Arabidopsis thaliana: one gene and its partner. The protein of the gene in region 2 purifies or fractionates together with the protein of the main gene of each other region. This does not show direct contact. Each region holds a gene or a part of one and is shown on either strand. Other genes may lie near its edges. The genes, in order: AT1G27695 and ABCI13.

What was found.
Region 1: the proteins of ABCI13 (region 2) and AT1G27695 purify together in Arabidopsis thaliana (affinity purification with western blotting, with the first as the bait; one study listed by BioGRID). This does not show direct contact.

Annotation. Positions count from the first base shown.
Region 1 is NC_003070.9:9,634,175-9,645,219, reverse strand, and holds AT1G27695 (glycine-rich protein), read right to left. Parts: upstream 6,197-11,045; 5' UTR 6,098-6,196; intron 6,074-6,097; exon of another isoform or gene 6,013-6,073; 5' UTR 6,007-6,012; coding exon 5,967-6,006; intron 5,892-5,966; coding exon 5,847-5,891; intron 5,520-5,846; coding exon 5,487-5,519; intron 5,376-5,486; coding exon 5,218-5,375; 3' UTR 5,016-5,217; downstream 1-5,015. Other genes in the region: TAF4B (TBP-associated factor 4B), read left to right, coding at 143-267, 420-507, 593-731, 824-879, 966-1,022, 1,102-1,224, 1,314-1,364, 1,449-1,608 and 1 more; AT1G27710 (Glycine-rich protein family), read right to left, coding at 2,032-2,670; AT1G27700 (Syntaxin/t-SNARE family protein), read left to right, coding at 3,468-3,544, 3,741-3,855, 3,932-4,420, 4,515-4,701, 4,801-4,826; AT1G27690 (lipase, putative (DUF620)), read right to left, coding at 6,913-7,461, 7,545-7,895, 8,138-8,539; APL2 (ADPGLC-PPase large subunit), read right to left, coding at 10,770-10,871, 10,947-11,045.
Region 2 is NC_003070.9:24,289,121-24,301,589, reverse strand, and holds ABCI13 (non-intrinsic ABC protein 11), read right to left. Parts: upstream 6,422-12,469; 5' UTR 6,229-6,421; coding exon 6,043-6,228; intron 5,907-6,042; coding exon 5,775-5,906; intron 5,669-5,774; coding exon 5,573-5,668; intron 5,496-5,572; coding exon 5,418-5,495; intron 5,339-5,417; coding exon 5,277-5,338; intron 5,164-5,276; coding exon 5,088-5,163; intron 4,985-5,087; coding exon 4,877-4,984; intron 4,732-4,876; coding exon 4,556-4,731; intron 4,473-4,555; coding exon 4,388-4,472; intron 4,297-4,387; coding exon 4,258-4,296; 3' UTR 3,995-4,257; downstream 1-3,994. Other genes in the region: ARI8 (IBR domain-containing protein), read left to right, coding at 191-425; AT1G65425 (F-box/kelch-repeat protein), read right to left, coding at 1,002-1,122, 1,516-1,733; NPQ7 (antigen receptor-like protein (DUF565)), read left to right, coding at 3,216-3,355, 3,468-3,921; PP2-A5 (phloem protein 2 A5), read right to left, coding at 7,024-7,396, 7,523-7,653, 7,751-7,826, 8,251-8,403, 8,522-9,024. UniProt on the Arabidopsis thaliana protein: ATPase transporter involved in lipid transfer from the endoplasmic reticulum (ER) to plastids, and necessary for thylakoids formation. Not involved in transition metal transport pathways.

The DNA of each region.
Region 1 (11,045 bases), about 15 Mb from region 2:
AACCGATGTTGCATTTGGTTTCGTTTTGCTTATATTTTGGACCACCCTGGCTTCTATTTCTCCTTGTACTGGCTTCGAACTTTGGTTGTGAAGAGTAAATGGACTATCTATCTTACGTGAAAATTATTTGTGTACACTTCAGGTTAATATGCCTGCCCCATCTGAGACCATTCCCAAGATTGCTAATGTTACGGTGACACCCAAAATGCCTTCTGTTGGTCAGAAGAAACCTCTTGAGGCACTAGGTTCTTCGCTGCCACCATCAAGGTAATGAGCTGGCTGGTTTGTGAAAGATGAACTACTTACAGCGTCCATAAATTACTCTTCCTTTTTTCTTTGCTTTTCTGATAATATCCTTTTTACCTTACTAACAATTTAGAATTGCTAAATTGAAGTCTTATGTATTTTTTAATATACAGAAAGAAGCAAAAAATATGTGGGACTTCTTCAGATGAAAGTATTGAAAAGTTTAATGATGTCACTGCAGTCAGTGGCATCAATCTCAGGGTATGTTTACGAGTTGCTACACTTCTCATTTTGAACCTGGATATAGAGAAACAATAAACCAAATTACTTTCTGCATCTGTTCTAGGAAGAGGAAAAACAATTATTAGATTCTGGTCCTAAAAAGAACGATCGTGTTTCTAAAGCATATCGAAGACTTGTGCATGGAGAGGAAGAAAGAACGCTTTTGCAGAAAATTCCACTGCAGAGAAAGCTGACAGAAATTAGTTTGTGTTTCAACTCGTATCTTAGCTGCTTCTTTGGTCCTTACTTGGAATCACTTGGAGAAGAAGTTTATGTATGCTTTCATATATGACAGTGGGAAAAAGTGGTTTAAAGCATATAGACCATGATGTAGAGCGGTGCTTGTCTCTGGTGAGATGTTAACACCTTTTCTTGGAATTATTAGCCTTCAATTTCCTGTTTTTGTTTTCGTTTTTCTCATGGCTTTGCGCATTCAGTGTGTGGAGGAGAGGATGCGAGGACTACTGTTTAATATAATACGAATATCAAAGCAGGTCAGTCTACTTTCTCTTCTCATGCCTCCTTAGATCTTGTTGTACCTAAATCTTTCTGAAGTTACAAGAGCTTTTGCAGCGGACTGATGCAGAGAAGTGTAGAAATCGGACTTTTATCACATCTGATATCCGGAAAGAAATTAATGAAATGAATCAGAAGGTGAAAGAGGAATGGGAAAAGAAACATTCTGGAGAAGAAAAGGTAATGGTTTGTCCTGAGCTTAATATCTATTTGTCTTAGTTATCAGTAGTAATGTCTAGTTTTTTTTTTTTGTATATTCATTGATGTAGAACAAAGAAAATGATACTGAAAAAGAAGACCAACGTTCAAACGAAGTGAAGGTATTTAGAACTTGAGCCAACTACCTAAACCTTTGGAGATATACACATACGTACACTGAAAGAGGTTTATTGATCACAAGTCAGGCAAATAAGAAGGACGAAGATAAAGAGAGAGCCAAGGCTGCAAATGTTGCTGTTCGTGCAGCCGTTGGAGGAGATGATAGGTTTTCAAAATGGAAACTTATGGCTGAAGCACGTCAGAGATCTTCTCCAGGGCCAGGAAGAAACTCCAAGAAACTTTCTGGTAAGATTGGTAATCCCGTTTCTATGATCTGAAAGAGTAAATCTCTCAGTTCTGTTGCTGGTTATTCTTGTGTTTCGTGCTCCTAATTGCATATTCGAACTTTATGTAGGTGGTACACAATTTGGGAAGAACCAAGGTTTACCAAAAGTAGTCCGGTCAATCTCTGTGAAGGATGTGATCGCTGTGGTGGAAAAGGAGCCTCAGATGTCAAGATCGACGCTATTGTATCGCGTATACAATAGAATCTGCTCGGATGTTTGAAACCAAGAAAAGACATAGGACCAATTCTTTATTTTTTTTTGTAGAAAGGTTCTTATTCCATTAAAACTAATGCCATTACAAACTCCTAAACATGATCAAGATGCTAAAGTACATCCTTATTTCTTCTTCCTTTCACTACCTAAAGCAAGCTGCATGTTTTTTCTAGTTTTTGCCTGATCCCTTCGTGCTGACTCCGCCGTGTCCATATCCTCCTCCACCACCACCGCCTCCGCTGCATGAACCTCCGCATCCTCCACCACCACCGCCAATGATGACTCCACCACCAATACCTCCTCCACCACCAATACCTCCTCCACCTGACCCGTATCCTGGACCACCACCTCCGTTGCCTCCATCCCAACCCAAACCACCACCTGAACCATACCCGGCACCTCCACCAAATCCACCACCGATTACAACACCACCACCGCCGCCACCTGGACCGTATCCACCACCACCATATCCCGGGCCTCCACCGCCGTAGCCACCAGCTGTGAGTTCACCCTTAAATCCGGTTACGTGTCGGATACTCTTTCCAATCTCACTGGAGTGTGCTTCATTCCTCATGAGCTTACTCTCTCTTCCAATCTCACTCGAGCGTGCTTTATTCCTCATGGACGCACTTTCTCTTCCAATCTCAGTGGAGTGTTTTTCATTCCTCATGAGCTTACTTTCTCTTCCAATCCCACTGGAGTGTGCTTCCTTCCTCATGGAGGCACCTTCTCTTGCAGCCTCGGCAATCATATGACCGATGAGACAAAGATACGAGGAAACAAGAAACCACAAGATCACTCTAGCCATGATGGCTGCTTAGTGACACAATTTGTTTGCTTAGAATCTGAAAAAGGAAGTAAAAGGACTTGTGTGTTTGAATAATACACAGCCACAAACACACACCACTATTTATATATCTTGGGACATAATACAACGGTGATGGTTGGCATGGGCGTGCCAGTAGAGAGAGAGAGAGGTGCATATATGGTGACTCACCAGAAAGGTGTAACAGGTGATGGTTCTCATTCGCATGATTTTTCCCACACTTTTTGCTGCATTTTTTCATTATTATTCATTTTGCAGTCTCAAGTTTTTTCTTAAATAAAAGAAAACAAGGAGTGACTCGTGTACCAATCCATTGATCTGATTTGAACATATTGGTTATCACACATATGTTCCAGAGGAAACAATGAATTATGAAACTGTAATAAAATGATTATAACATGAATAAAATTGATAGATAAGTCATAAGTAATCAAAAGTAGGATCATGGCATATTTTTTTCCTTTAATCATACTTTCGATTACTAGTTCTTTTGGTAATTATGCTGTCATAAATAAAGCGTTAACCAAAATGAAGAGAATTAGAGATTATGGACCGGTTTATTGAGAACCACATTGAATAAACCAAACATTAATAGTACTAATTTTCGCACGTGTGTGTAACGAAAGGCCGTAATTTGGCTAATCGATGAACGAACGTTCCCTCTCTTCTCTGAAATCTTTCTCGATCCATCCATCTTCTCCATTTTCCTCCATTTCTGGGTTTCTTCTCATCTTCCAAGGATTAGGAAATTAGTTTGTTTTTTTTCATCTGCTCAAGTGATGACGACGAGTTTGGATCGGTGGGAGAAAGATCCTTTCTTTCCCGCTGCTGAAGAAGTTCAGGAATCTGCCGACAGGTTTGCGTTTTTCGGATCCTCATCTCCCAATTTTCGTTTTGAATCTGTGATACCATAAACTCTCATTGTTGGTGATGCAATGTCGACGATTCGATTCGTGTTGCTTCGGATTTGGGATTACGATTTCTGATTAATCAAATCAAGTCTTAGATCTGAAATCTCACAATGTGTGTTGTTATCTTCGATTCATGTGTAGGATGGAGTCAGCGTACAGGACATGGCTCAATGGGAAACGAGACTCTTCAAAAGTATGGGACTCTGAGCAGCTTCATAGAGATCTTCACGCAGCTCTTGGAACCACCAAATGGCAGGTTTCTTTCTTTCCTCAGAACTCAGATTCTTAATCTGTAATGTTGATTTATGAAACCTGTAATATTTTTGGTGTAGTTAGATGAATTCCAAAAAGCTGTCAAATCTAGCTATGACAATCGTTTGAGTGATGAAACTAGAGATAGGCATCGTGAGTTTACTTTCGTAATGGAAGCTCAAGTGTCGAAAATCGAGAAATCTCTCAAGGAAGCTGCGCAATCCGATGGGAAAGGAACACCGAGATGGGTTCGTTTGGATGAAGATGATCGTAATGAGCTTGCTCTCTTCTTGACTGGTCCATCTGAATCTGCTAAAGCAAATCCTAATGGACATAGAAGGACTGCAAGTGCTGCTGAATTCAGTGCTTGGAACATTGCGGTTTCTGATGATGGTTTAGTGAAGAAATCTTGTGATGAGCCAGTGGTTCGACCTCCGAGGAAAGTACCTAGCTTCTCTGGATTCTTGAATTATATGGATCCTGTGTCCAAGCATTGCAATAGAAAGTGGAAGGGTTTAGATCGTCAAGGAGACTCTGATGCTGCTTTATTACCTATCCAAGCTAACCAAGTAAGTTTGATCGATCGATCTCCAACCGCAAGATTTTTGCCTCCTGCTTTGAAAATCTTTGCTAAGAAATGCTTTTTATTTTTTTGTTTCTCAGCAAGATATGAATGGATGTTCAGAGAGGGGCAAGAGTTGTATGGAGTGTGAGGAGGACTGTTATGAAAAGCAGCTTCATGGTTGGTATGGAGCTCTACAGAGGCAACTCCAACGGTCTCAGTATCGAATGCGATATAGTAAATCGGTTCACGCTGCAATTTGGATTATTCTTTTAGTTTTTCTTATTGGTAAGATTTACTGAACTCTGAATCATTTATGTTTAGAACGCAAAGCTTACTGCATCACTTTTGAGTTTTGAGATAAATTGTTTTTTTTTCTGATTGCAGTGGTAGTTGCAGTGCATTCAATGTAGAAGAGAGGTTTGGAATAGCAAGGTTCGAGTTCATTCATCTTCTGTGTAACAGCGAAAGAGACGAATTTGGCAATCCACATTTTTACTGTACAGTAAATTCCAACTGTTTTTGGTTGTTTGTAATATAGAAATGCATTTTTTTGGTTCGATTATTTGAAACGGGTTTCATTGAGCAATCATTGTTTTCTTAGGCACCAATCCTATTAACCATTGTAGAATTATTTGGGACTAAACCCAAGATTGAAGTGGAACCTTCTAAAAATGACAATTCAGAATACAGAAATGCATTTCGTATTGGATTATTTGAAGTAACCGTTTCATTGAGAAATAAGAAAAGGTGTCAGAATTCTTTTACAATCAATCCGAGCAGAGTATTGAAGCACACGACTGCTTAAGTGGAGTTTTTGGACATGTTAGCCACCACCTCCTCCCGTTTATCGGCAGTCTCTAACTCGATGCCTTGAAATGTAAGTCTAGATGAACGATAGTGACTCCCAAACGCAGTCCCGAAACCCCACCCGAGGCCCAAACCCACCCCGCAACCGCCACCTTTGTCAAATACCAGACGCATAAGTTACGTAATTAGAATTTAGGAAAAACCTGCTCGGTGTGTATCTATGCGAGTGTGGGATATTTGAAGTAGAAGTTTGAAATGCTTACCAGCACCAACACCTAAGATGTTCATAGGCATTCCTGCATGAAAGCAACGGAAATCTCCAATTCAGTAGGTTTGCAAAATAGTATGAATCCATCAAAATGTAAGCGCAACTGATACTAGCTATGCGTTTAAGCAACCATTAGCTAGGAAAGAAGAAGCATTTGAGTAAAGATGATATGTAGGAGTTGATAATCTCTATAAGAGACATTAAGCAATATGATCACAAAACTAAACAAGCACAGCAGAGTGCATTGCACATCCCATAGCAACTAGCAAGAGAATTGTTCCAATAGAATTATCTTGTAATTCAGTCCAGATTTTGTTCAAGTAAAAGCAGAAAAAGAGAGAAGTTGAGAACGAACCTCCAAAACCCCATCCAACGCCAAATCCACAACCAACACCGAACCCTATGAATTCCAATAACTAAATTACGATTCCAATCAAAATTAAAAGGAGAAAACAATTGCGAATGGGGGCATTACCAAATCCAACACCGACTCCAGTGAAGTCAGAGAGCACCATAGTGATCTTCACAAGAAAAAAAAAGAAACCAATTTAGGAATCTATAAATTCAAATGAGCAGAAATTGCGAATCTGAATTACCCGATGATACCTTGTTTGTTGTTGGTAATCGGTGAATCTGGTAGATTGCTCTCTCTACCTCCCCCACTTAAAATCGCAAGCCCTGAAAGCAAGAGAAGAAAGGTGAAGACGATTTGTTTTAGAGACGTACCAAATTAATCGAACCGGTTTAACTAATGAACCGGGATTATTTTCAAAATGATTTTATGTAAAAGAATTTGGTCAACAGTGAACCGGCCTAATTCTTTTTCTCAAGGTCAACAACAGTCAACAGTAAAATAAAACGATCTAGTGAGCAAATGGATCAATCCATATGCAAAAATGCTCATGTCCCATTGAAATCCAACTCACAAATAGGATTTGGATGGTTGAGACAGACAAACAGATAAGTACTTATGGCCATTTTTTGGAGTAAACTAATGAGCAACGGTTTGAAATAGACAGTAGGAGGAGAAATAACATTTACTAGTTTGTGCTACAAAAGAAACTACACTCACACTATGAATTTATTGATATACAATACAAGGAAGATCGTATTCATCAGTTCCAATTGGTATGGATGACCAAGTAATATTTCTTTATACTATATGCTATTAGGTGAAATAGATGGGAGCTTCTATCATAGTATATGAAACAATATTATAAACTAAAAATTGGACTGACCTTACTAAGACTACACATTCCTAACATTATGCGGCAAAAAGAACGAACTTCTCCTGCTGTCTATTTACAACTTCAACGAAACTTCCTACAAGAATTTTAGCTTCGACAATAGCAAAAGTAAAATAACCGGTCTAGGGTTTGTTTTTGAATGAGTTATACACATTGATCTCCTGCTTCTTCACATCAACCATTTTTATGGCCGTGCAATGTCCTAATTTTGGGGCCTTGAGATAAGTCTTCAACGTGGGAATCAAATCTGAGTTCTGAAGGTGGAATGAAGCAATCTATAGACAAGCCAGGGACATTGAACGAGATTTCATCGATGACCCATGCTTCTTGCATTGTGGTCTTAGTGTTATGTCCTGATGACATATCTCCAAACCTTAAAAGCGTAGCCACGGATCTACCAGAGTGAGCTATCATGATACCTTCGACAGGTTTGTAGTCTTCTAGGTATGAGTTGATGGTCGTCTCCCAGTAAACCGCTTCGCCTCCATTGTTTTGGATTCGGGTTAGCTGGGAGTCTTCTAAGTGAACAAGCAGACCGGTTTTTTGGCTGAAGTAACCGAACAACGTATGTCTTATGGTCTCTGATGCCCCTTCGCTTCTAGCTTTGAGTGTTGCCGGGTCTGCACATAGCTTGAGAATGAAACAGTCTTCTCCATCGATCTTTTTTTCTCCTATGCACCTTGCATTTGCAAACATATACGCTGTGGTCCTCGGGTCAAGTCCCTGAAAGTTGACAACAGTAACAATTCAGTTATGCAAGCAAAGAAAAGTGTATGAGAAGGCTTCCTTGGGACAAGAGGCCTAACCTGCAGAGCACGTCGTAATGGTCTAACCGGTCCTTTTGCAGCATGAGGTCCAAGCCATGGTGTGTGTCTCCACACAAGCTTCCCGTCACAACCTGCAAGAACCTTGCTCCCACCAAGAACAAGCTCCATGTACCACATATCAGGATTCATATGCCACAACACAAATCCTCCAGACTCAACAGCTTTTGACGAATTATTCTTGCTCTTTGAACCTTTTGAGCCTGTCTCAAACTCTGAAGCCATCGTCCTGATTCTTCCCATAACATATCCATTTTGCACAGAACTATGAAGCTTTTGACCTCCTGATGCAGCCGTATACTGCTGAAGTATGTACTGAGCAGAGGAAGTCTCCTGAAAATTCAAGTATTAGTAAGAGTCATTAGACTTTACCCTCAACACATTAAAGCAGAGATAAAACTTGATAAATCTCAATTAATTGCGCAGTCTTTCTCCGTAATTAGTAGGCAACTAAAAGAAGATTCAGCTAAATTCAAGCTAGATTATGGCACAGAAGAGCTTAATTCAACATGATTAACTCCAAATCCCCAACACTGTCCTAATTTTGAGGAGACAACAGTGAATTAAGAGCTCACCATAGGTGTATTCTTGATACTGAGGTGTGGAAGGAGATCCAGAGCGCTAACGTGCACAGGACCTAAAGGTGCGCCAAGAACACCGAGGAGAAGCCTCAGATCCGTTCGTTTGAAATCCGAAGAGGACGATACTGACGGCGGAGCCACCGGAAGCTGACATTTCATCCAATTGTACCAACGTCTCTCGAACCTAGAGTAATCACCACTGCTTCCGGAGTCTTCAGCGTCTGGATCAGGACCTTCTATAACCGGAGCAAGCATCTCAGACATGTGCCGGTCCGGTTGTGTGACGTAACGGCCTTTCCGGCGACGGATGATGATCGGAGAGACGCTTCTGACTGGACTCTTGGATCGTGGTCGCCGGGAATTAGACTTGGAGAACAAGCCGTGCTTCTTATCCATAGTCGGAAGAAGAAGAAGGAAGTGTTGTTAGTAGTGTGAGAGAGAAGACGCAGGTTTGGTGATTAGAGAAAAAAGAGAGAAATGTTTGCGTCGAAGGGAAGGTTGCAAAATATAAATGTCGAATTTAATTCGTTAATTCGCTTTTTTAACCATTTCTTTTGGAATTTAATTATTCTTTTCTTATTTTGGCTATTATTTAGGGTTATACACATTTTTTTTCTCGACATCGTTGAAATTATGAATCACTGCTTCTCGAATAAAAACTTTTAAAAGTCTCATTATTACAGGCAAATGGGATTCGGGATAAGATTTAATTATGAAAATTGGTATAAGAATTTTTTTGTTATTTTTTTCTATTGAAATGGTTTTACATTCCATTTATAAGACATAAAACATTCATATTTGTCTTCTTTCTCTCAAGTCTTTTTTTTGGGCTAACTCGTTCCACATTGGATAAGAAGAAAACTTGTTACAGTTTGTGACCACAACAACGAGTTAAAAGGAGTTGCTTAATATGTTTTGATTTTTTCATAAAAGTTGATAATATGTTAATCATTATATATATATATATATATAATACTTTATTTCAAAAGCAGCATAAATTAGTGAGCAATTAGCCTTAAGGAACACGAAAGGCATGCTCTTAGAGATGGAAATTAATTAAAGTCAAAACAAAGCAATTGAGTGTTATATTACTATTTTAACAAAAAAAAAAAGGTGTTATATTACTAAAAGCAATATACAATATAGACGAGTAGGGTGTGCATGAGCATGAGCATAAGTCACAAAAGGTCAACATAACACAAAATTATTAAAAATAGTCTTCCTTTTCTGGAGTTTTCAATTTGATTCATGGGACCAAATTAGAATGGATATATATTTATATGGTTGCTTCTTACTCATTTTCATCTTTAACCTCAAATAACCATTTTCCATGGTACTTCTAAACTCTCAAGTGCGCCTTTGTGTGTTCAAACAGAAAAATAATTATGGACGACAAAAGAAAAAAAAATAACTTTTCTTATGTTTTTTTTTTTTTTTTTGTCGTCCATATTTAGTTCATATAATTGTTTTCTTAGTTTTGTTTTACCAGTCTAAAATACCTTATATCTAGTTTTAAATACCTTATATATAAGTGTTTGACAAAAAGTAAACAAATAATCATTTATAAGATTTTTTTTTTCTACAATCACACACGATTTTGATATCAAGTTATTATAGCTCAGGTTCATTCTTACTTACCAATAACCCTATTGAGCGGACGATCATTACAGCGGACGATCATTACTTACCAAAAACTTGTGTTGTGATTTTGTGCTATTATCTTCACTATGATATGATGATAAAATATTCTCTCATATATCGTCAACGTGAGGCGGGAAGTAACGGTGCCATGAGGCCGAGAGAATATAAAATGAATAAAATTAAAAAAGCAGTCGGTGTATGTAATTATAACTGGTGATGATAAATATTGAGCATGCGAGTTTGGTCCAGTGATAATGACAACTTTTCTGCCAACAATCTTTGGGAGGCCCAAACACACAAATACTAAAATTAAAACCAAAAACAGTCTTATGGACTATATACTTAACTCAAAGGATACTTAATGTGAGAAACCTTCTCTGAAAGTTTACGTTTCATGCATACTTGTATATTTGGGTTTTTGTTTTAACTCAAGAATCAAGATTCAAAATTAAGAAAACTAGGGATGTCCCATATACAGTTGCAGACATAAAAAGTTAGGAGACTTTTTCAGGACTGTTGGCCTTGGATTAATTTGACACTAATTGAGTTGGTGAGGTAGCTTCTAGTGGTCCTTACCTTCTCTAAAGATCAGACCATTTAGTCTTCAGAACCTATTCTCTCATTCTCACTGCAATAAGAGACAAGAGTTTTATGACTCTTTTTATAGTCCCATAAAACTCGAATGAAATATCTATAATTTGTAAAGTGTATATATGGATGGGAGTCTCAAGTCTTGTGTTGTGACTTGTGATCGTGAGAGTGAAGAATTTTACACATGCTTTTTTCTCGTCTGTTTGTGATTGGTTTCTCTCTGTGTTTTACGTAATCATTAAGATTTACCAAGATTAACGATCACGTTTAAAGTTGCTAAAACTGTCATTCGTTTGTGCCTCTTGTTTTATTAAATTATTAATCGAACGTAACTAGTCTCGTTACAAAATCACAAGAAGCCACATACACTGCTCCTAAAGAGAGGTTTAAAAGCTTAAATATGCAGACCATCTCTAATGGTGGCGTTCTTCAGCACAACGGTGATGCCTGATCTTATGTGAAACCCTTCCTCTGGTCTATCGCCTTCTTCCACGCCCTGCCACAACCCAACACAACAAAAAATCAGACAACCATTTCTTCAAAATAACCAAAAAGATCTTTGAAAACATACATCTGCATTCGCTATGACCACGTTCTTCCCGATCTTGGCGTTCTTGTCAATGATACAGTTCTTGATTTTTGTGTTCTGGCCAACCCCTACCGGAACTTT
Region 2 (12,469 bases):
TTAGTGACATGGTATGTTTAGTAGCTGTTCTGAAACAGTTTCAAGCACATTTAGTTACGACTGAGTCACTAACCGAAATTTAGTGCTGAGTAACAAAATTTAGAGAAAATTAAGGAAGTTTTCGTTCACATAGTTGGCACTGCGTTTTATGAAAGAGGCTAATAACATTTTCTAACCTGGAAACGAACAGTGTTACCAAAAACTATTTTGAGAACTTGGTTAGAGCGCTGGAGAATGGGCTATCGGATGTGAACTCGCATGATGCATATGATCGAACTTCAAGTTCAAAGAGCTTAGGGGGGAAGACTAAGGGATCGAGTTCTAAAGCCAGCAGCTCCGATTCAAGCCATTGGCCTTGTGAATATTGCACTTACGTAAATCCAAGGTCGACCACCATTTGCCAAATGTGTGAACATGGCCGGTGAAATGCCAGAAACTGGCATTAAAGACTGTAATAGTAATGCTTCGTCGCTTTTGGTCATAATTATGATCAAGTGTCGTGTAACTTTGTATGTTTCTCGTATTAGAATAAACGGGTCCAATAAATTGGATTAGATTGGCCATTATTATTGATTTGCCAATGACCAAAAAGTGAAAACATGAGAGGTGAGTTATATATAAGTTCTTACAAAATAATTGTAAAACTTCTGTAAGTTTTTTTCTAATCTTTTGTCCAGACAATCTAATTTTTGTAACGCCTGCTGATTTCTATTATTATTCTAGAATATACAAAATCCAGAAAAAGAGATTCAAGTAACGAATCCGGTTCGAGTCTTGTAGTTTCAAGGAAAGTAAGTTATACTCTGAAACTTAGTACTGAGGATGCTTAAGAAGGTTATGCATTGAATTAGTTGGCTCTGGGTGATGAAAGAAGCTAATAACCTACTATTACTATGAATGAACAGTGACACGGAAAACTATATCGAGCGGTGGAGAATGAGCTATTGGATGCGAGCTCACATGGTGCATATGAATATGATCGAACTTCAAGTTCAAAGAGCTTAGGCGGGAAGACTAAGGGATCGACTTCTAGAGCCAGCAGCTCCAATTGAAGCCAATGGTGTTGTGAATATTGTACTTAGGTAAATCCAAGTTCGACCACCATTTGCCAAATATGTGAACCTGGCTGGTAAAATGCCAGCAAAGAAAGTTAGATTGAGAAGAGAAGTCGATTCCAAACAGATTGTCTAAAAGACTAAAACCAATGTCAGTGTCTGAACGAGCTCAACAACAATGTGATGGACACGGAAGCGATAGAAACATTTGTTCAAAAGTCTAGCAAGAATCTCCAAGCAAACATGTTCTCTTTTCACTATTCAAACTAGGTCTCATCTCTTAACACTGAAAGAGACATCTGTTTATAAATGACTATTTTAAAAACCTAGTAAGAACATCACACCCAAAAGCACTAGGAAAGGTAAACCAAGATAAAGCAAAATAGTAAAACACAAAATGAAACCAGACTTGGAGTAAATGTATAAACACTTGAAGATGTATTTTACGAAAAGGATAAACATGGGGTGCAGTTTCGGGTTATATATGTGGAATCGTGGGCCGAAACCATGAGACTCGATCCTCAATCTCCATTCTTGTGGAAGAGAAAACTTGAGTCGGATTAGTTCTTTCACTGGAAGTCTTATGAAGATTTCCTCTATGACGTCGTCTGGTAGTGATGATGGAACAATCACTTCCACCTTTTTCTTCCTTAGATATGAAAAAATGGATGAATGCATTTCGTTTTGCATAAGAATTTAGAGTGTGGTAGTTTAAATCTAGTTAATCTCTTTGTTTTTACCTTTTAGTAATGTTAATTTAAATTTTAGACAAAAAAATTAAGATTTAAAAACAGAAGCTAGCTATAAAGAGATATGCATGATTAGACCAGATTCTAATATTAATTATTATTTTTGGCAGGAAATCATACCTCTTACTAAAATAAAGTTGGAACACAGAATTAGATAAGCAATAATATACTTTAATCAGATTCTGAAAAATAAAACTTCTAAAGGTTTTGATTTTTTTTTTTTTTTGTCTCATAAGTTTTATTAAACATCATCATATCATACAAGAGCTTAAACAAAAGCTCCAACTTTGGAATTACATAAAGCCCAAAAAAGGCCCATTAGATAACCTTCTGCAGAAGAAATTCTATCGGAACTCCATCCATGAACACATGTCGACAACCGGGATATACCACGTCACACGCTGGATGAATAATCAAAAGTTTTCCGGCAACAACCTTCGCCGTTGAGCTGATTCCGGTGAGATGATTCTTGTGTTTTGCACCAGAATGAAAACATCAAAGCTCCAAATTAAAGATAACGGCTTAAGGAATCGTGATAAACGACGGAAGAATCTTCAATCCTTCAACAAAAGAGAAAAATTTCTTTGAAACCATTATGTAAATCCTAAGTTCAAAAAACGATCCGGCGAAACCCATCTTGAAAACTCAAAGGATAGAGAGGGAAAAGAACCATCGAGGATATGACAGATTATTACCCCCAACATAAATCCGATGAGATTATTAGCAAAACTAAAACAAAATTCAGAAATTAAAGAAGAACATAAACCGGCCATGACCGCTAGAATAGCCGGTCGTGCCGGGCAAGAGCTAGCCACCGTTGCTGAAGAAGCTAAGCGGTGCTAGACGAGAGCTGACCATCGCGGAGATTTGGTACATAAGCCGGCATGAAACCGGACGACAAAGAACGCGGCAACGGAAAGCCGTGTCACGGCTAAACTAACGGCGATATCGGACCACGTCCGAACGGCAGAATAAGGATAAAGTCTCCCTCTCTGAAGAATGTTAGAGAGAGAAGAGAGCGAGACTAAAGGTTTTGATAGTTGTGAGATTTTCAAATAATATGTGGAATTACCAAATTTATTATAATTGATTAATCGTCCTCCAAAATTTGTAAAACTTGAAATTCAGAACAAAAAAAAGAGTAGAAGGAGTAAAATGTCTTTTTCAACAGAATGAAAATCTAAAAAGCTTCAATGCCTTTTGTCATTGTTTCTCAATCATCACTCATCTTCACCAATCTCCATTGATTCCTTCAAGCCAAGCTTCTTGCATTCTCCTCTTAGATCAATCTGGTTCTTTCATATTCCTTGTGGATATGATCCGTTAAGATTCGTTCGTTTTGTGTCTAGTAGATCGCTGTGACGTAATATAAAGAAAACCCTAAATCTCAGAAAACTCGAGACTGGTTCTAATGGCTTGTCAAATTCAAGCTTCACGCGTTTTCCCAGTTCTAGAAATTGAAAAAGGTCTCTCCTTTATGATAAATGTCTTCCATAGGAGAATAAAAGCTTCGTCCATTACTCTCACTTCATTTCCTTATCCCATGAAAAGGTAGCGTTTGCGTTTGCGTTTTGATTTTCTGCACAATCATTGATTGGCTTATTGAATTTGGGCATAATCATTGGTTTGGTTATTGAAAAGTCTCTTCATTTTTTGCCAATAGTTTTCAGATAAGAAGACCAAACCGGAAAATAGCGTTTGCGTTAGACACTGGTTCTTCTATTCCTGGAGATAGTGGTGAAGGGCAAGAGATGAATGGAGACAGAACCGGTCTCGGTAGCACTCGGTTAGGTAGAATTGCGATTGCAGGAGGCAAACAGTTACTTGGGAAGATAAACTCTGCAAGAAAAAACTTCCCAATGAAGATATTTCTGCTGCTTCTTGGTTTCTACACTGCCAATGCACTAGCTACTATTCTTGGACAGACTGGTGATTGGGATGTGCTTGTTGCCGGAATCGTCGTTGCTGCGATCGAAGGAATCGGTATGCTTATGTATAAGAAACCGTCTTCTTCAATGTTTTCAGGGAAGTTGCAGTCTTTTGTTGTGTTTATGAATTTTTGGAAAGCTGGTGTTTGCTTAGGTCTCTTTGTTGATGCTTTCAAGTTGGGTAGTTAAAAAGACAAATCTTTCTTTTCTTCTACTCTATGTATATATGCAATTGTTACTACTGTTTTGGAGGTTCACAAGTGTCAATTAAAAGTTTCATTTTTGTTGGGGTATATGTTTGAGAATGCAGGTCTTGTTCTTGGCACATTAAACCAGATTCTCATTGATGCATAATGAAATCTCAACTTACAATGCTTTTCTGATCTATGCATCTAAGATAAAATAGTGTTTACAAGTAGCATCGTATTGAACCAATTGATCCAGCCATGTGGTGTATGTCAGCCATTACTTGTTTGCGTTCCCTATTATCGGTTAGTGTCCCTCTTTAGGCTCGGTTTGCCTCCCCTAGTATCTGATTGGTCCATCGAGGCTGCCTGTAGCAAACTGCGAGATACACAACAAAAATGAATGACTAACACTGCATCCCAAGTACTTCAATGTTGAAATTAGATGTGAACATGTGAAAAGAAGGGACCTGTTGAACTATTGGATTAGTTGAGGTTGTGAATTCATGTGTCATTCCTTGCCAAACGATCTTTCCTTCATACAGAAACAATAACCTGAATAGAAGAAACAAATATTACTCAAGGGATGAAGCAAAAGCTGCAAAAACGTATCTTGTAATATGGACTAGAAGCGGAACCTGTCTACAGCTCTTTGAATGGTGCTATGTTGATGGGTAACAACAAGATAAGACGCAATTTTTCCAGGTTTTCCAACTGCATCTTCGTCTGTCATGTGAACAGACCGTATAAGATCTTCAACTACAGTTGATGCAATTGGATCAAGTCCAGCAGTTGGCTCATCGTACAAAAGCACCTAAGAAAAGGCAGTGAAACCCATAAATGAATTCCTAATTTTTGCCACATGATGACTTTAAGTTTCATCAATAACTATACAGATGCAGGAGTCAAGCCTCTAAAGAAGAAACACATTCATGAACTTAAGTAGATATTAAGATTACCTCTGGCTCTATGACCTCTTTTGTTGTATCAAAAATTAGTGAACGAGCTAAAGCAACCCTTTTCTTCATTCCACCAGATAGCTCAGAAGGTAATCGATTCTCAACCCCCTGATCTTATTAGAAACAAAAGGCAATAATAAGCTGGATGTGGACTATTGACTAGGTACACTTAACTAGCCTATGTTATGAAAGTTGTACTGAATTGAGATACCTTCAAACCAACAGCTGCCAAGGTTTGTGTCACAAGCTCAGATATTTGATTCTCGGACATTTTTGATCTTTCATAACTGTGATTAGTTACCACAGAAAAGTTTAATCAATATGACTGAAAACGAAAGAACATCAGCAATGTTTTAGCTAGAAATGAGGTTATGTAGGACGTTAAAGAATAACATCTTACAGTAGAAAACCAACATTTTCACGAACTGATAGTGAATCAAAGAGAGCTGCACTCTGAAATACCTGTGAGACAGAAAACAAAAAGCCATTTAGATACAAACTCAACGACTTATGAGAAATACATCTCCAGAACAGCACCTACCAGGCCAATACGAAGTCCTGATATTTCCTCATCACTTATCAAACCAGCTCGTTTTTTTCCTCGTATATAAACTTCTCCCTGCATACCAATCATCAGAAACAATCCATAACCTGAAAGGTTGTAATCTGCCATATAGAGAAGAAACAGTAACAGACCTTGTCTGGAGCAAGAAGACCAGCCATAATCTTTAAAATTGTTGATTTTCCAGTTCCAGAAGGACCAATCACCCCAACAGCTTCACCATGTCTAATCTGCATACTTAAAAATTGGTTAGAATGTGGTGTCTTTGTGTGGTGTCTTTGTGTGCCTTTCAAAATCTATAAGCCTTCTTTCATCACTGTAAACACAACAAAATACCTTAAAGCTAACACCTTTCAAGATATGTTTCTCCCCAAACGATTTATAGACATCTCTACATTCAATAAGAACATCAGAATCATTCTCAAGCCCTCGCTCTTTACACATACCTCCTCCAGACTTGGTAAGACTCTGCAGATATGAGATATCATCACATTATCAAACAAGTTGCAACCAAAATGATACCAATATCAGTACTTTATTTAAGTCCAGATTCCACAGTGATCCATTTAATTACTTTAGAAGAAGCAAATCGTGAGATTATTACATCGAATTTGGTGGCATCGTTGTCCAAGTTCTGAGGTGGAGCTATGCAACAGCAAGAGACTTTCCGACGAAACGAGATAAGACTCCTTCTTGGTACAACGATGGACTGAACAGAAGAAGAACCGTGGTAGTGTAAACTCGGAGGAAGCAACGAAGAAGAAGAAGAAGAGCATGATAACGAAAGCATGATTCTTTCTTCTGGGTTTTGAGATCGTGAAGAAATTGAATCGGAGAAGGGCAAATTCGATACCAATTTGGATGATTTAGGAGAAACCCAGAAACAAAGGAGATCAAAGGTGTGAACTTTATGGCGAAATTGGCCTTTCTTCACAGACTATAGCGAGTCACCGATTGAGTGAGTCACATTGCCATTTTTCGTTTTTTTCTTTGTAAATTATTTATTATATTGTGAGGAAACGAATTTTTTTTTTTTTTAGGAAACGAAATTTACGTTTTCTTTTCAATGTTTGCAAAATGTTGTTGATCAATCATCCGAATACCAAAATAGAGTTAGTATCGAACCGCACCTTATCATTGTAAACAATATTTTTTATGGATGACTATTGTGGACTTTAATTAAAATCGGTTGAATATCAAATTTTGCAAAATGTTGTTGGTCATTTTTCGATAGGATTATCTCTAGGCCTACAACTTTGGTAGGTTTGGGCATTCGGATACTCGTCCCAATCAGTTCTTTTTTTTCGGTTTCGGGTCTAATAGGATAGAGAGTCGGGAACTGTTCGGATATTCTAAAAATTCGGTTTGGGTTTGGTCAGTTATAGAATTCAATAGTTTGGTGGTTATGGATGTGATAACCAATGCAGAAGAGAGTAAATAGAGTATAAGTTTTGAAACCGGTCAAACTATCTACACAAGTAACATTGTAACAAACATTTGGGAGGTGAAACTAAGATTATGGTTCAAAGCGAGCATTTCCACTATATATATCTCAGACCAACAACATACATGCTTATAAAATGACTTAGTATTTGGGACGAATTGTAACACCTTTGACGAAGAGGCCTGACTTCCACAGTTGGCACTCGTGTTCGTACATTGCAAAAGAGATTTCCCCGACGTTTTTCTTCGATGTGGTGAACTCTCCAACTGGAATATCGAGCCATTGGTCACTTATGTAGTCAAACATGTCCACACTCTGTTCTTGCGGTTTCTCCCAAGTATTCGGCAAGTCTAGCTTTAGCTTCACTAGTGTCTCCCATTCGAATGTGTATTCTAACTTCACTACGAACACCACCTCGTACCTTGTCCTCGGGGTCAAATATCGAGTGTCAAACTTTCCAGCTACGTCTAGCCAGCTAGCACTTTTCAAAAATGCAATTTCCATCACTGATTCACTGGAAAGTATTGTGCTTAGTATTAGACAATAAATCTAGAAATATTATCGTTATAAGGTATATATTTTCGTGATTTAAGATATTTCTTTCAATTTATATAAGAAATACTTTTAAGAGAAGTTTTACTTTGAATTTTGGTTTGGGAGAGGGAGCCAGGTCCAATGGTTGGAGTCCTCTGACCATGCAATGGAAAGATCTCTTGCGTCAATCATGAAAACGTTACCCTTTGGTCTCGTAAGGTCGACCCAAAATTTGAACTGTCGATATATAAATCTCCATGTCAGTTCATGAAATGATACCAATAAACATATATAAAGAAAATCAACTAACAAGACAGCAAATGTAAATTAGGACCTCGTATGAGGGCACTGGTGACTGATTCTTCATCTGGTAAAATTCATTTAGCACCGTAACTTGAACGGCTTCCTCACTGTACATAAATAGAAACATCGAAATGAAAAAAAAAAAGTTATCAGGAAACGAGACCTAGGGGATCTAATCTTTTCATGCAAATTAATGTCACAGTTTCTAATCTATCCTTAAGAAGAAAATGTTGAACTTTTTCCAATAATAAATTAGAAAGCAAATGATGAAGGAAAATATAGTAGACATTTTATACAAGTTAAAATATGATAGAGATGTACTAAAAATATAATAAAAGTAAAACTTAACAATCTACTACACAAGCTTTTAGCATTTTTTTATTTATTACTTTGTGGAAATACTAGTAGCTAAAATGATTTAACTTAGCTATTCGATCAATACTTTCACATGACATACCACTGAAGCAATGTATGTTTCATCAGAATATCATTAATTTTCCTAAATGAAATCGTAAGAGAGGCACTACTTACTTTGGTGACTCGTGCATAGTGATAGTGAGTTTACATGCAGGGACTGAGAAATCTTGATATTCTATTTCTCCATTTCTTCGTTGGAAGAAATTCTTCTGCACTTTTTTAACAGCCTTGACGATTGACTTTACAAAATCTCTATCCGAAATGTCACTATGATACAAAGAAAAGAGAGTAAAATGTCAATGAGTGAACAGAAATTGTTACAGTTAAACAGATAACACTTAATTTATCAAGTAATAAGAACATATAAAAGTGGAAAAATAAAAACCTGTGTTTTGGTAAGATCAAGGAAAACAATTCGCAAACAGAGAACAAAGCTTCCGTCCATTTATGGAGCTTTTTTGGTTCAGGTTGATATTTATCTACCAAATCCCAAAAATTATCGCCAAATTTTCCTGTAAGATCTTTTACCACATCGAGATCAAGCCTGTAGAATATTGGAATGATTATGAGTCTGTTTTGATCCATGTATTCCTTGATTTTCACCAGCTCGTCCATACACCAATGTGACTCGCAGTATCCTTCAGAAAAGATAACCAAAGCGATTTTCGACTCACCTATCGTATCAAAAAGACTGATTAGGTATTTGCCCCTCTCCTCTTGTTCGTCAATAAACACGTTGATCTTTTCTTTTTTCAAAGCAGGCTTAAGAAAGCTCATGAAGCCTTTTCGTAAATCTTTCCCCCGGAAATTGATGAACACTTGAGGTCCCGTAGGGATCAATGATACATTAGAGGAACAAATAGAAGAAACAGAAGATGCTCCCGACATAATCAGAGAGCTTATTTCTTAGAAACAAAAGATGTTTGATATATTCTTCTTTGAATTTGCTAAGGTGTTTATCTTCTTGGTTGGGATTGCAAACATGTCCTTCTTTTGTGAGATATATAGAGTTCATTAATCGTCGTTATTATTATAATAATTATTCTAAAAGATCATTTTTGTTGTTTTGCTTGAAACTTTAGGTGGCCAAAAATGAAAGTTGCATAAGAAGACAGAATTATAGTGGACAACTTGCTCTCTTTTTTGGGGTCAAAGATTTAGACTTAAGAGTTGACAACGTGTTTCCCCACTCGAACACTAGTCGACTTCTTCGCTGACTAAATCTTTACAAAACGAGTAAGGTCTGACTTCTTTTTTTCCTTTTGGTTTTTAGAGTTAAGAGCTGACTTCTTCTTCTTTGCCTCGGCCAACCTATCTAGGGACCGTTTCATCATGTTAGTTTCAAGAACGATTTTAGATCCATAGACGGATTGATTTAGATGGTCTATAAAGAACTGAATCATGAGAAAGTAGGACTATCCGAGATATTAACTTGGCGTTTTGAACTAGTACGTTAATTTTTTTCAATCCAAAATTAAATTGTTTTCTAATTTAATAAAAATCGATTTATTTACTTCTTTTTTATTATTTTTTTTTCCTTTTAAAATCATTCCATTATATCGAAATTAAAGTGTTAAAGTTATACAAGACTACAGAACCAAAATTATTACACAAGCAGATATGTGAGCCATTTTCTGAAAAAAATACGAAAAATAAGATTCACGATGCGTTTTGGACGAAAACGCCTTATTCGCTAACGAAAACACATATTCGTGATATTTCTTCGACTTTTTTGCTCCAATACGATTTTTTTGCCTTTTTTCTTGAGGCTGTTTCATAATCGTATTAGTAAAACCCATTACGCCTGATATTAGTCTTGGAAGCACGACTATCTGATGCCAATTAGTCCGCATCAATGTCCTTGAAACTATCATAAACCTTAACCTGACTTCAATATAAACCAGTAGCACTATCTTCTCCACATTGTGAATTCTCCTTCTGAACATTCCTATAAAAATATGGCCATCTTCTTTCATCCATGCAAAGAGAACCAGAGAATACTTGAATTTGGGACCAAACATTATTAGTAAGTTCTCTTTGCATGTTCGAACATGCATGGATGAAATATGACCTTTGGTTCGTTTTTTGAAGTGGAACTTATCGAGTATTAATTTACAGAGGTTTAGTATAGAAAAATCTATTTATATTCCATTGTAAAAATAATTTGAGATAAGTGAAAAGTAATCATTTTAATTTTTTCAAACATATTTGGGAAAGTAGTCATATTACTATTTACAATTTGCAAAGTAGTCATTTTTAAGTGTTTGATTTATACACCTGGATTGCAAAGTGACTAGTTTTCCAAGAAACCCTAATAATAATTAAAAATTTCTTAATGGATTTGTTCACTATATATAACTGTCCCTCCATAGACCATGCATAATCCTCCACCCTTTTGCAAGTTCTCTATCTAGTTGGAGAGACCAAAGATGAATGTGAAAAAGGCTATGAAGAAGCAAAACGACGTCGCGATGATCCTTGGGAGGCACGTCTTATCTTCTGAGTCGGAATCTAACGTCATCTTCTCGCCGGCGTCAATAAACTCTGCGATCACCATGCACGCCGCTGGTTCCGGAGGTGGCTTAGTCGCCGGTGAAATCCTCTCCTTCCTCAGATCTTCTTCAATCGATGAGCTCAAATCCGTCTTCCGAGAACTATCATCCATCGTCTACGCCGACAGCAGCGCTAGTGGCGGCCCAAAGATGAGGGCGGTGAATGGCCTCTGGATTGAGAAATCACTACCGATTGATCCCAAATACAAGGCTCTCTTCGAGAACTTCTTCAAGGCTGTTTACGTTCCCGTAGATTTCCGATCAAAGGTAATTTTCCACTTTAACAGCAAAAAAGAAACTAGGGTTTCGAAGAAATATAATTAGGGTTTTGCAGAAACGTTATTTGGTGTTTCTAGATGAAGTGTGTAATAGCTGTTTGACTTAAAGAACATACTCAACCAGTCAAATTGGAAACCTAATAGTTCGTAATGTATGTTGATTCCCAAATCATAATTCGAATTAGGAGACTGTTTTCAAAAATCATCCAATATGTGTTTTTTTTGTTTGAAGGCTGAAGAAGTGCGTAAGGAGGTGAATTCATGGGTTGAAGATCACACCAATAATCTCATCAAAGATCTTCTTCCTCGTGAATCTGTGACAAGCCGAACCAACAAGATTTACGCAAACGCATTGTATTTCAAGGGAGCTTGGAAGAGACCATTTGAAAAGTACTATACAAAAGACAGAGACTTCCACATGGTCAATGGCACTACAGTCTCTGTGCCATTCATGACCAGCTACGAGACACAAAAAGTAAGAGCTTATAACGGTTTCAAGGTCCTTACCGACGAGGCCGTGATGATACCAACCGCAAATTCTCAATGTATTTCTATCTCCCTGACAAGAAAGATGGATTGGATTATCTCTTGAAGAAAATAGCATCTACACCTGGATTCTTGGATAGTCACATTCCGAGATACAAAGTTGAACTTGAGGAATTTAGAATTCCAAAGTTTAAGATCGAATTCGGTTTTTCTGCTACAAGCGTTTTGAATCAAGTGGGAGTACTGCATTCAGTGTCAATGTACCATAAAGCTTGTGTCGAGATCGATGAAGAAGGTGCTGAAGCTGCGGCTGCAACTGCTGATGTAGAAGATGACGGTTGTGCTCTTGATATGGGGCCACCTCCTAAGAAGATAGATTTTGTGGCTGATCATCCATTTATTTTCCTTATCCGAGAAGACAAAACCGGGACCGTTTTGTTCTTTGGTCAGCTCTTCAAACCTTCGGAATTCTTGTTCTGACTCAGATAAGTATTAACCTGGTTATGGTTTAGTGAATGGTTTTGGCAAAGTTATCACAGGTTCTCCGAAACCATATTTCAGTTGAAACCGAGATTGTTAGAAATTAAATTGGTTCTAGCTAGTTAGATCTGTTACTAAACTTTAATTGATCTCCATATCTCTGTTTTTTTCTATTCATTTCGTTCGGTTTGATTTTCGATTATCATTTTTTGTACTCGTGGATTATACATTTAAACACCCAAATTGTATGTTCCTGATCATTACCCACCATTTCCTGTCCTAATCTCCGAAATGAACACCACTACTCACTGACTCGAGTTTCGATGTGTTTAGATAGATAGTACTAGATTATTGAGTCTAATCACTTCTTGAATCACAAACAGAACAAGAACCCAATACGGTTCATGTAAAGGTTAACCGGTCAAACTATATACACAAGTAACAACATTTGGGAGAGACTTTAGTTAAAAGCGAGCATTTCCACTTCACAGCTCAGACCAACAACATACATGCATGTGTTACAACTGAATATACATC